Linked DNA regions of Caenorhabditis elegans. The protein of the gene in region 1 purifies or fractionates together with the protein of each later gene. This does not show direct contact. Each region holds a gene or a part of one and is shown on either strand. Other genes may lie near its edges. The genes, in order: kola-5 and fce-1.

The links.
Region 2: the proteins of kola-5 (region 1) and fce-1 fractionate together in Caenorhabditis elegans (co-fractionation; one large-scale study listed by BioGRID). This does not show direct contact.

The regions. Positions count from the first base shown.
Region 1 is NC_003282.8:17,318,944-17,323,816, reverse strand, and holds the start of kola-5 (EGF-like domain-containing protein), read right to left. Parts: upstream 3,023-4,873; 5' UTR 3,020-3,022; coding exon 2,821-3,019; intron 2,710-2,820; coding exon 2,591-2,709; intron 2,545-2,590; coding exon 2,433-2,544; intron 2,097-2,432; coding exon 1,729-2,096; intron 1,461-1,728; coding exon 1,319-1,460; intron 1,271-1,318; coding exon 861-1,270; intron 810-860; coding exon 386-809; intron 134-385; coding exon 1-133.
Region 2 is NC_003279.8:9,710,510-9,714,802, forward strand, and holds fce-1 (CAAX prenyl protease 1 homolog), read right to left. Parts: upstream 2,211-4,293; 5' UTR 2,210-2,210; coding exon 2,121-2,209; intron 2,075-2,120; coding exon 1,933-2,074; intron 1,887-1,932; coding exon 1,166-1,886; intron 1,120-1,165; coding exon 1,052-1,119; intron 1,007-1,051; coding exon 698-1,006; 3' UTR 543-697; downstream 1-542. Other genes in the region: rnh-1.3 (RNase H type-1 domain-containing protein), read right to left, coding at 7-98, 147-234; C16C2.4 (BSD domain-containing protein), read right to left, coding at 2,473-2,597, 3,073-3,398, 3,725-4,017, 4,057-4,293. UniProt on the Caenorhabditis elegans protein: Proteolytically removes the C-terminal three residues of farnesylated proteins.

The DNA.
Region 1 (4,873 bases):
GTTTGGCCAGTTGGTAAATTAGCGGTGACATAACTGCCAATTGTTCTAGAGACAAGGCCATATGTAGTTGGATCGAAATCTGCAGCATATGCAAACAAGAAAGTCGCAGAGTTGTCTTGTGTAGTGCAAACAGCTGAAATTTGCTTTATGTTTAAGGGAGAGATATTCTCAAAGGGTTTAATATTAAAATTTTGTCATAAATTTTTTGGGGAAGTGCATTTACAAAAAAATTGATAAAACCCAATTTGAGCTATGCGCCAAAATCACAAAAAAATTGGAGTGGAAATCTAAATATAAACCCAAAAACGCGTGCGGTACACTTGAAGCAAAGTCATATTAGAAAATTTGCAAATTGAAAAATGTTTTAATTTTCTCCTACACATACCTTGAGATGTGCTAGAAGGCATTTCTGTCGATGTGACAACTGTTGATGAAGCTGATGAAGTCGTGGCTGCTACAGATGTAGCTTCTCCTGTTGTTGTTGAAGAAGCTTCTCCTGTTGTTGTTGAAGAAGCTTCTCCTGTTGTTGTTGAAGAAGCTTCTCCTGTTGTTGTTGAAGAAGCTTCTCCTGTTGTTGTTGAAGAAGCTTCTCCTGTTGTTGTTGAAGAAGCTTCTCCTGTTGTTGTTGAAGAAGCTTCTCCTGTTGTTGTTGAGGCTAAAGGTTCTGTTGTGGTTGCCGCTGCCGTGGTCGTCGTGATCACTGGGACCGGTACACACGCTACTCTTACAGCACGTTGAACAATTGTTAAGTCCACGGATATGTTCAGGAACAATGAATAAGTTTTCGTGGAATCACATTTGATTGTTGTCTGGAATAGAAATGAAACATTGAATTATGGGAGTTGCATTTATGCACATACACTTGGAATCCATTCAAACGCAGCTGGCGAACGCTTTTGAAGCTGCGGATTCCACGAGCGATCAAATGAAGCCGAGATTGAGTTCAATGTGATCTGAGCAGTAGGATTTGATTCCACATGCAGAGCTGGATAAAATGGGACACCCTCCACAATTGCGTAACGAGACGCATCAATCGATGGATTTTCGACATATGTGGTAGAAATCGCAAGATCCAGTGGGCCAGACGCCGGTGCAGCGTTGGTAAATACAATTCCAGTGCATCCACCGCTGGCAGTTGTGATGTTAAGATTTGCGCAATCTGGATTAGTAGGATCGGGACTTTGGAAAATGGCTAGTTGGTTGTCATAAGAACGCAGTGGCTGACGAAGGTGACAAGCAGTAAACAATGGAATAGTTGGATTAGCACTTGCTGAAATTTTTTGTTTTATATTTATATTACTAGATGGTAAAAATCTACCTCCCAAAAATACAAAGTTGTATGGGCCACTGACAACTGGATCAGCAACCACTGGAATTATCTGTCCAGAAGTGCAATCGGGGAATGATTGAATTGAAACGTACTGCGGTTTGTAGTGAGTGAGAAGCACTTGCGAAATTAGCTGGAAACGAGAATTACAGAAAATCACAAAAACTGAATTTAAGACCAGAACTTAAGCAGCCGATATTGTAAGAGCCTCACGAGATCCCAACTGTCAAAATTGAAAATTTTGGGCAGGTTGAAAAATTGTTAGCTAACTGCTGCTCGAAAATTGGTCGAAATAAATATTCCCCTGATAGCGAATACAGTACTTTAATGATAAAACCTAGCCTACAACAACGCACTACAATTTGATATGTCAAAGTGCTTGTAAAACTTCCTTCACTTACGTTAATGTTGTTCTGATCTCCATTTTCAGCTTGCAGTTGAACAAAAAGCCCTCCCGTGATATCCACAAATGTCTTGAAGTCAGATATTTGTTCATCCGAACACGCATTGAACACAATATCACTGATCCACAAAACGTTGATTCGAATCCCGAAAGCCACTGCAATTTGTCGTGCTTCATCGTGGAACTCAGCAAGTGGTGGATGCTGGGTGACGATTGTGATCACTGTATTCTTGAGTCCTCCCTTTTGAATCATTTGGATAAGATTCTCGTAGATGGCCACTTCATAACACCAATAAATGCCAGTGTCTTCGAGATCAGCCAGACTGAAGCTTATGTTCGAATTGATGTTGTCATAATTAAAACTGACTGAAAAGTGGTTTATCTGGGTAACTTCTAAAAAATTTGATTCAAGCAATATTTGATAAATCAGCCGAACAATTTTAAGTTTAAAGATGTAAAATATTGTTAAATATTGTTATAAAAGTTATTTATCATTGGCTTTCAAAAATGTTATGTCAACGCAATAAAAACCAGGATATGTGGGTGGATACATTTTTTAAGATTTCATTGCTAAAACTGACAAAAACTGTTTTTGCTTGGATTGGCCCCAAAAAATCAGCCTATCGAATATCCTGGCTTTTTGCAATGTTTCATGAAATCTTGAATTTATTCTAGTTTCGTGAGCAACATAAAATCGCTTACTGCTATCATACTGTGGTTGATCGATGTTGTCAAGGTAAGGGGTTCCCCTTGTTTCAACAAGATTGTAGTTGTCATATCCGGTTGGATAGGCGTCGAAATGCGCTTCCAATCCCTAATGTTTTCTAGTTTGCATTTTAGAACAATAATGGCAATCATACCTTTTGAATATTTGCATAAGTAGAAACTCCCCAATACTCCGTATATAAATTGATATTTATAATGTTGAAGGAAGTCCCACCGACTTTGAAATGATTGTCAGGTGGCAGGGAGGTTTTCACTGAAATTGATTCGCTTTGTGAAACTTCCAAATTTAAAAGGCTGAACACAAATAATGAACATTTAAAAAAATTTGGAAAAAATACACTTCAATTCATGATTCAATACATACCAGCTTCACAATGAATTCCTAGGTAGCCGGAAGGGCAGATGCAAATTTGTTTGGAAACATCCAAGTATCCTCCATTTGTACACTGACGAATAGTGCAATTTCCATTGTCATCCTTATTGAAAAACGATGGGCAATCATCTGAAAAGACCCCTGAGATCAGGGACAACGCCCCAATAATTAGGGCCGTTTTTTGGAGCATCAACTGAAATTTTTAGTTAATTTATAGCAATGCAAATTAACAGTTAATGTAAGAAAACTGCCAGAAAAAAGGAAAATGATTAAAAATTGATGGTGCAAAGCTAAAATGTACAAAATTGTGTCAGAAAATGGGTGTGCCAACAAAAGTGTTTAACACACTGATAAAATTTTGGCTCTCTCCTTCTCACTGATAAGAATTAAAAAATCGGGTCAGCTTGTTTGCTTAATTATTTATTCGCTGGAATTTTTGATGTTTTAGGGACTAGTGAATATTTCTGTTTGCAGTTTGGAGACGTGGCATTGCTACCGTAACATTCTCAGATAACATGGGACCACGTCTAATTAGTTAAAAAGCATTTCTAATTAGCAAAAACAGGAAAAATCAGTTCTAATTAGCACGGATCCATTTCTAATTAGCAAAGCTAGAAAAAAACCAGATCTAATTAGCTCTGAATCATTTCTAATTAGAAATGGCAGAAAAAACCAAATTTTCACAGCCAGGTGTCATTTCTAATTAGCAATGCTAGAAAAAGCCATATCTAATTAGCGCGGAATCATTTCTAATTAGCAAAACCGAACAAAAAATTATATTTTCTTTTGCATTTTTTATCGGTTTATTTGTTTTATAAAATCTATTTACACAGTTTTTTATTTTATCAGTTTTATTTTCAAGTTGGATATATCGTTCGGTTACTTCTTTTTGTTGTTTGAATTTCGGATCAGAAATTTCACTCAAATATGATATTTTCAGGGAACTAGGGTCAGTCAATTATGGTTTTCGTGAAGCCACTCTACAGAACTTTGTTCTTCGATGTCGCCGCCAACAACGATGTCTCGAGCACCAAGCAAAACAACGAAGCCATGGCGGAATCCCAGTCAAGGAGCAGAGACTCTGCTATGCCGGTCAGTTTCCTTTCACGCGATTCTCGAAAAACCGGACAAATTTATAATATATCCCTGTTTCAGTTGTCAGCTCGGAAATAGCGATTGTGGAATCGAGGCTACCCTCTACGTCTAATCTACATCTACGTCATCTACGTCACGTCACGTCAACTGTCAGCTTCTCGGAGGACTCAAGAAAAGGAAGAAGAAGGCCTACACCATTACAAAGAGGAAAAATAGAAGGTCAAGTACGCCGTCCTCAAGTACTTCAAGGTAAGCTAAGTGGCTATTTCCAGCAAAATCAGTTCTGGCTAGAAAGTTAGGGACGATGAATATCTTGATCTGGTGCCAAATCCAATTTGCAATATTTTCAGAACGACAAGAACGGCAAGATCACACGTCTTAGCAAGGGATATCATGAGCCATCATTCGGAGGGAAGCCTTCATGACCCAGCTCACCACACTGCGGATCTCTTCGAAGATGTCCAAACATCCTCGTCATTGACACCGCTACTGTCGCTGCCACTTCTGGCGAGAAGGGAAGAAAGAAGTAGACCATTAAATGTTAAATCTTTAACCTTAAATCAAAATAAAATTATTGATTTTTATTATTCTTTGTTCATGAGATGATTCATAACACTTTGGAATTTCGTGTAAGCGCTTTCATCACACATCAAACGATTCTCGCTGCCTTGATATAGTGACAAAATGCTCCGAGGAGGAGTTTTCCAAAATGATTTCCAGAAATGGTGTCGCTCAATTTGTATCGATGACGTAAAAAACCGAACGAAAAAGAATTTTGAATGATGGCGTAGTTGTTGCGTTCCACGAGAATTACCTCATTACTTAAATTTCTTTTGATTGATATCACACGCGAGGCACCACAGCGCAACAGGTAAGGCGTTCGGAGTGAAGCAATGCGAGTTCAATCCCCAGTAAGTACATTTGAGTTTAACAGAGTGGTTGTGAGCAG
Region 2 (4,293 bases), on another chromosome or scaffold:
AATTACCATTTGGGTGGCGTGCTTGATGGCTTCCAGCTCATATCGATTGTTGGTTTGTGGTCCGTGTGGATAAGAGCCACTCACATTCTTCGATGTATCTGAAATATGTTCAAATAAGGAACAATTAATTGCACAAAAAACCGTACCACTTGGAACGTGAACTCCATAGCCTCCTCTGGAGCCTTGTTGGCCGTTTCCGAGAGCGGAACCGTCGGTGTAGAAGTCGTACGGCATTTCTTTAAAATTTCAGTTCATTTGATAGGAAAAAAGCATGCGAGAGAGAAAAGAAGAATGAAAACGGAGATCTTAATAAAAACAAAATGATGATATGAATTGTTTCGCAGAAGAAAGCAAACTTCTGGAAATTCCCGGGAATTAACAAAACAAAACAACAATAAAGCGAACATTCTAGAAAACATTTTTTTTGTTCTCCGCGGGTACTGTATTTGAGTCGCGGCGAGACCCTTCTATGAGACAGTTTGTGCGAATGAGAGACCGAGAGATCAGTCTCGTTCCGTTTTAAAATTTTCCTTGGAATTTAATTGTATTTCCAGTTTTTGTTTAAAAAAATTTATTTACTATAGAGAATATTAACGAAATTTAAGTTCAAAAAATGCAATAATATCACATTACAATCATAAATTAAATTATATAAAATACTTTGGCATTCAAGAAACAAGTAGTAAAACATGGGAATTTATTTATTCTTTGCCTGGAAGGCTCTAACAGCAGCTACTCTTTCAACAACTGGAGGATGTGTGTGAGTGCACCATGAGTAGAGTGAGTCATTGATAGGCATCGACAGATTGTCAACACCAAGCTTGGTCAAAGCTCCAATAAGATTTTCTCCGTGTCCGAGGTTAGCAGCAAACTCGTCAGCTCCAAATTCAGCAGAACGGGAGTGAATAACCATTCCAATACTAGCGAGTTGATTGTAGAGAGCGAGGACAAATTGGAAGATGAGCATCATGCCAATGACTGGTGGAGTATCGTGATAGCCGAATCCCTGAAAATTAAAATTTTAAGAATTTAATGGTTTAAATATAATTACTTGATAGAGGGCTTCCCATTTATAAAAGTATCCAAAAACTGCAAAAGAGAAGAACAAGTTGACTTCAGCTGAAAAATTCTACGTTTTGCTGTGAGTTCAGTTAAATCAACTTACTGATGACAAGATTGATCAAAGTGTGCCATAAAGCCCAATGACCCAATTCATGGCCCAGAACGGCCACAACTTCATCGTTGTTCATTCCTCTCTTTTTGTCGTTTTCAGTTTCTTCGATTTTCTCTCCAGCTGCCACATACAATTCATGTACTTTCTCCTTTTCAGCTCCACTTAGCAAAGTATCATAGAGCACAATGCGCTTGTTCTTCCAGAATCCATACATGTAAGCATTGGAGTGAGCCGAGCGTTTTGAGCCATTGACAACGTAAAGTTCAGTTAATGGATAACTGAGAGAAGCAGCTAATTGTTCAATTTTCGTCTTGAGATCTCCATCAGGCAATGGGAAATATTTGTCGAAGAGTGGAGCGATGAAAGTTGGATAAATGGTCATCAAAAGTAGCACAACAACAGAAACAAATAACCAAATATAGACAAAGAAGTATGGTCCACCATTGACAATAATCCATTCAATTCCATAAACGATTGGCATAGTGAGAGCAAATCCGACGAGCATTTTCTTAATTTTGTCAACGAAATAGAATCCAATAGTTTGTTTATTGAATCCATGGGCATCTTCGATAATAAAAGTGGAATATAGATCCCAAGGTAAATCGATGATTGTTTCAATTATTGAGTTTATTGAGAGAAATACAGCCACATGCAATGGATAACTAGCCGTTGCGTACCAAAGGAATGGATAATATCCTCCAATCAATTGTGCCTGAAAATTATTTTTTCATTTAAAGTAAACTTCAGCAGTCACTAACCGTGAGGAGAAGCTGATTAAACCAACTATGGAAGAATCCGAATAAATGATTATCAATTTTATAGTCTCTGGCCTTCTTATAATCTTCTTCTCCAATAAGTTCTTTGACTTCATTGGGACGTTTTACAGCATTTTTATGAGCTCTGAAAATGTTTCTCGTTGCGAAAAATCGGTACAATGAGAACTTACTTGTACTGTCGAAATGTGATGTACTGATCCCATAAAAATAGTGCCCAATTTGTGGCTAAAAGTGCTTTGAATAGACAACTTGCGTCCATTCTGAAGATGAGAAATGTTAGTAAATTATTCTGAAAAAAATTGAAAAAGTAAAATGTTAGATTCGAGTTTAACGAACAGACAAAAAGTTCAAAAAACGTGTAAATTATATCACGAAATATTCATTGAAATTACAGATAGACATCGGGACATCAAAACATGAGCTATTTACAATTTTACACTGAAATTTTTTTTAATTTTAGAAAACGAAGTGAATAGTATTATTTGTTTCTTTTGGAATGCAATTGAAAATAGTAATTAAAAATTATTCAGCATTAAGAAGATCTTGAATTTCAGCTTCCCATGCATCATCGTCTTTTCCTCCAGTTTTTTCAACAACATCATCGTAATCGTTCAAATCATTGAGAATTTCTCGTTCCCATTCTTCATCTGAAAAAGAAAGAAAAATTAATTTTAAGAATCGGCGGTTTATGGTCAAAAAGTGGAACAAATCGAATTAAATTGATATTACTGCGGTAGGACATCAGTCTAAATATTACGTTGAGGTCTAAAGATGATAATTTTGGCAGTATCCAACGTGCATGGGTCTCACCACGCAAACAATCAATTACCGTAAGATGCGGCGAAAGTTATCATCATTAATCCTTTGCAATCAGGGCTGTCGTTTTTTTTTAAATTTAATATTTTTGGACAGAGAATTAAAAAAAAGTTTTCAAAACTGTTAATTTTCAGAAACGAGAAGGAAAAAGACACGCATTTTTTGTTAATTATTTTTGTGACAGCCCTGCTTGCAATCCGCCATTCATTGATATGTACTTTCTTCAAAAAATAAACCGTAAACTTATTCAGCATTTAAAATAACATAATCAAAGTTTTAACTTTGAAAAAAAAACATAGAACGCACCGACACTTGTCAAAGTTAGTTCTCCTGGTGCTGCAGGTTGTTCAGAAACAGTTTCTTTCAATTCTTCCTCTTCTTCATCCTCGTCTTCGCAACTTTCTTCAGATACGGTTTCCTTCACTTCCGGCTCATTTTCTTTCTTTTCTTCTTTAATTTCAGAAGACGATTGTGGAGCAACTTCAGCAGATACATCTGACTCTTCTACCTTCTTTTCCTCAACAATTGGATTAGGCGTCGGTGTAGTTCTTCCCGTGCCTTGAGCAAGCATAGATTGCCGAATGAGCCCGATACGATAGAAATAATTTTGCCAAAATTGATTCTCTTTCACTCTGAAATTTATTTCTCAAGTTTTGAAGAATAGTTGGAGGAGACGGTTGGGGATTTTACTTCAAGTGTTAGAAAATGGAATGCAATAACTAAATATAACTGAAAAAATGTACTGAATTTTTTAATGATTTTTGTTTTTATTTTGCAAAAATTAAAAGGAAATTTGCGCGGGTATTCGAAATATAATTGAGCCATTTATTAATTTTACAACATTTTTTTTAAATTAGAAGTGTTATTAACAGTTATAATGTGTTATTACGGTCCAGGTCCTAACACGTAGAGTAAAATTTCAAAATTACTTTTTAAAAAGTATAATTTAAAAACTCACTGTTTGGGTACAAGTTGGAATCTAACATTCGCAAGATTTGGATCATGTTTGAGTAAAAGAGTTGCCATAGCTTGTTGCTGTTCGTAAGTATATTCACTGTTAGCTGCTGAATCACGGAGAAAGTTTCTTGTGTTTGTTGACAATGACATCATTTGCTTTTTAGCGAGCTCTTCATCTGGAAGTCCTTGCCACGGTAAATCAATATTTCTGAGTTTATCTCTTTCTTCTTGTAATTGCTTCTCAAATTCGTCCTGTTCTTTATTGAGATCTCCAAGCATTGTCTGAATATAATTCTTTCACAATATTTGATTGAAATATACTACAACACTTACATTCTCTATAACAGCATTCTTAACTTCTCCAAGCTTCTTTCCAGCGTCCTTCGCATATTCAAAAAGTTTCGTCGATGCTACACCACTTCCAGTTTTTAGTCCACCAAAAAGTGCTGCCATCGATTTTTTCGCAGTTTCCGTCGCAGTCTCTTGTGGTACACTTTCTCCTACAGGCTTCTCCACATTCGATTCAATTTCAGCCTTTTCGATAGTTTCCTTCTTCTCATCTTCTTTTTC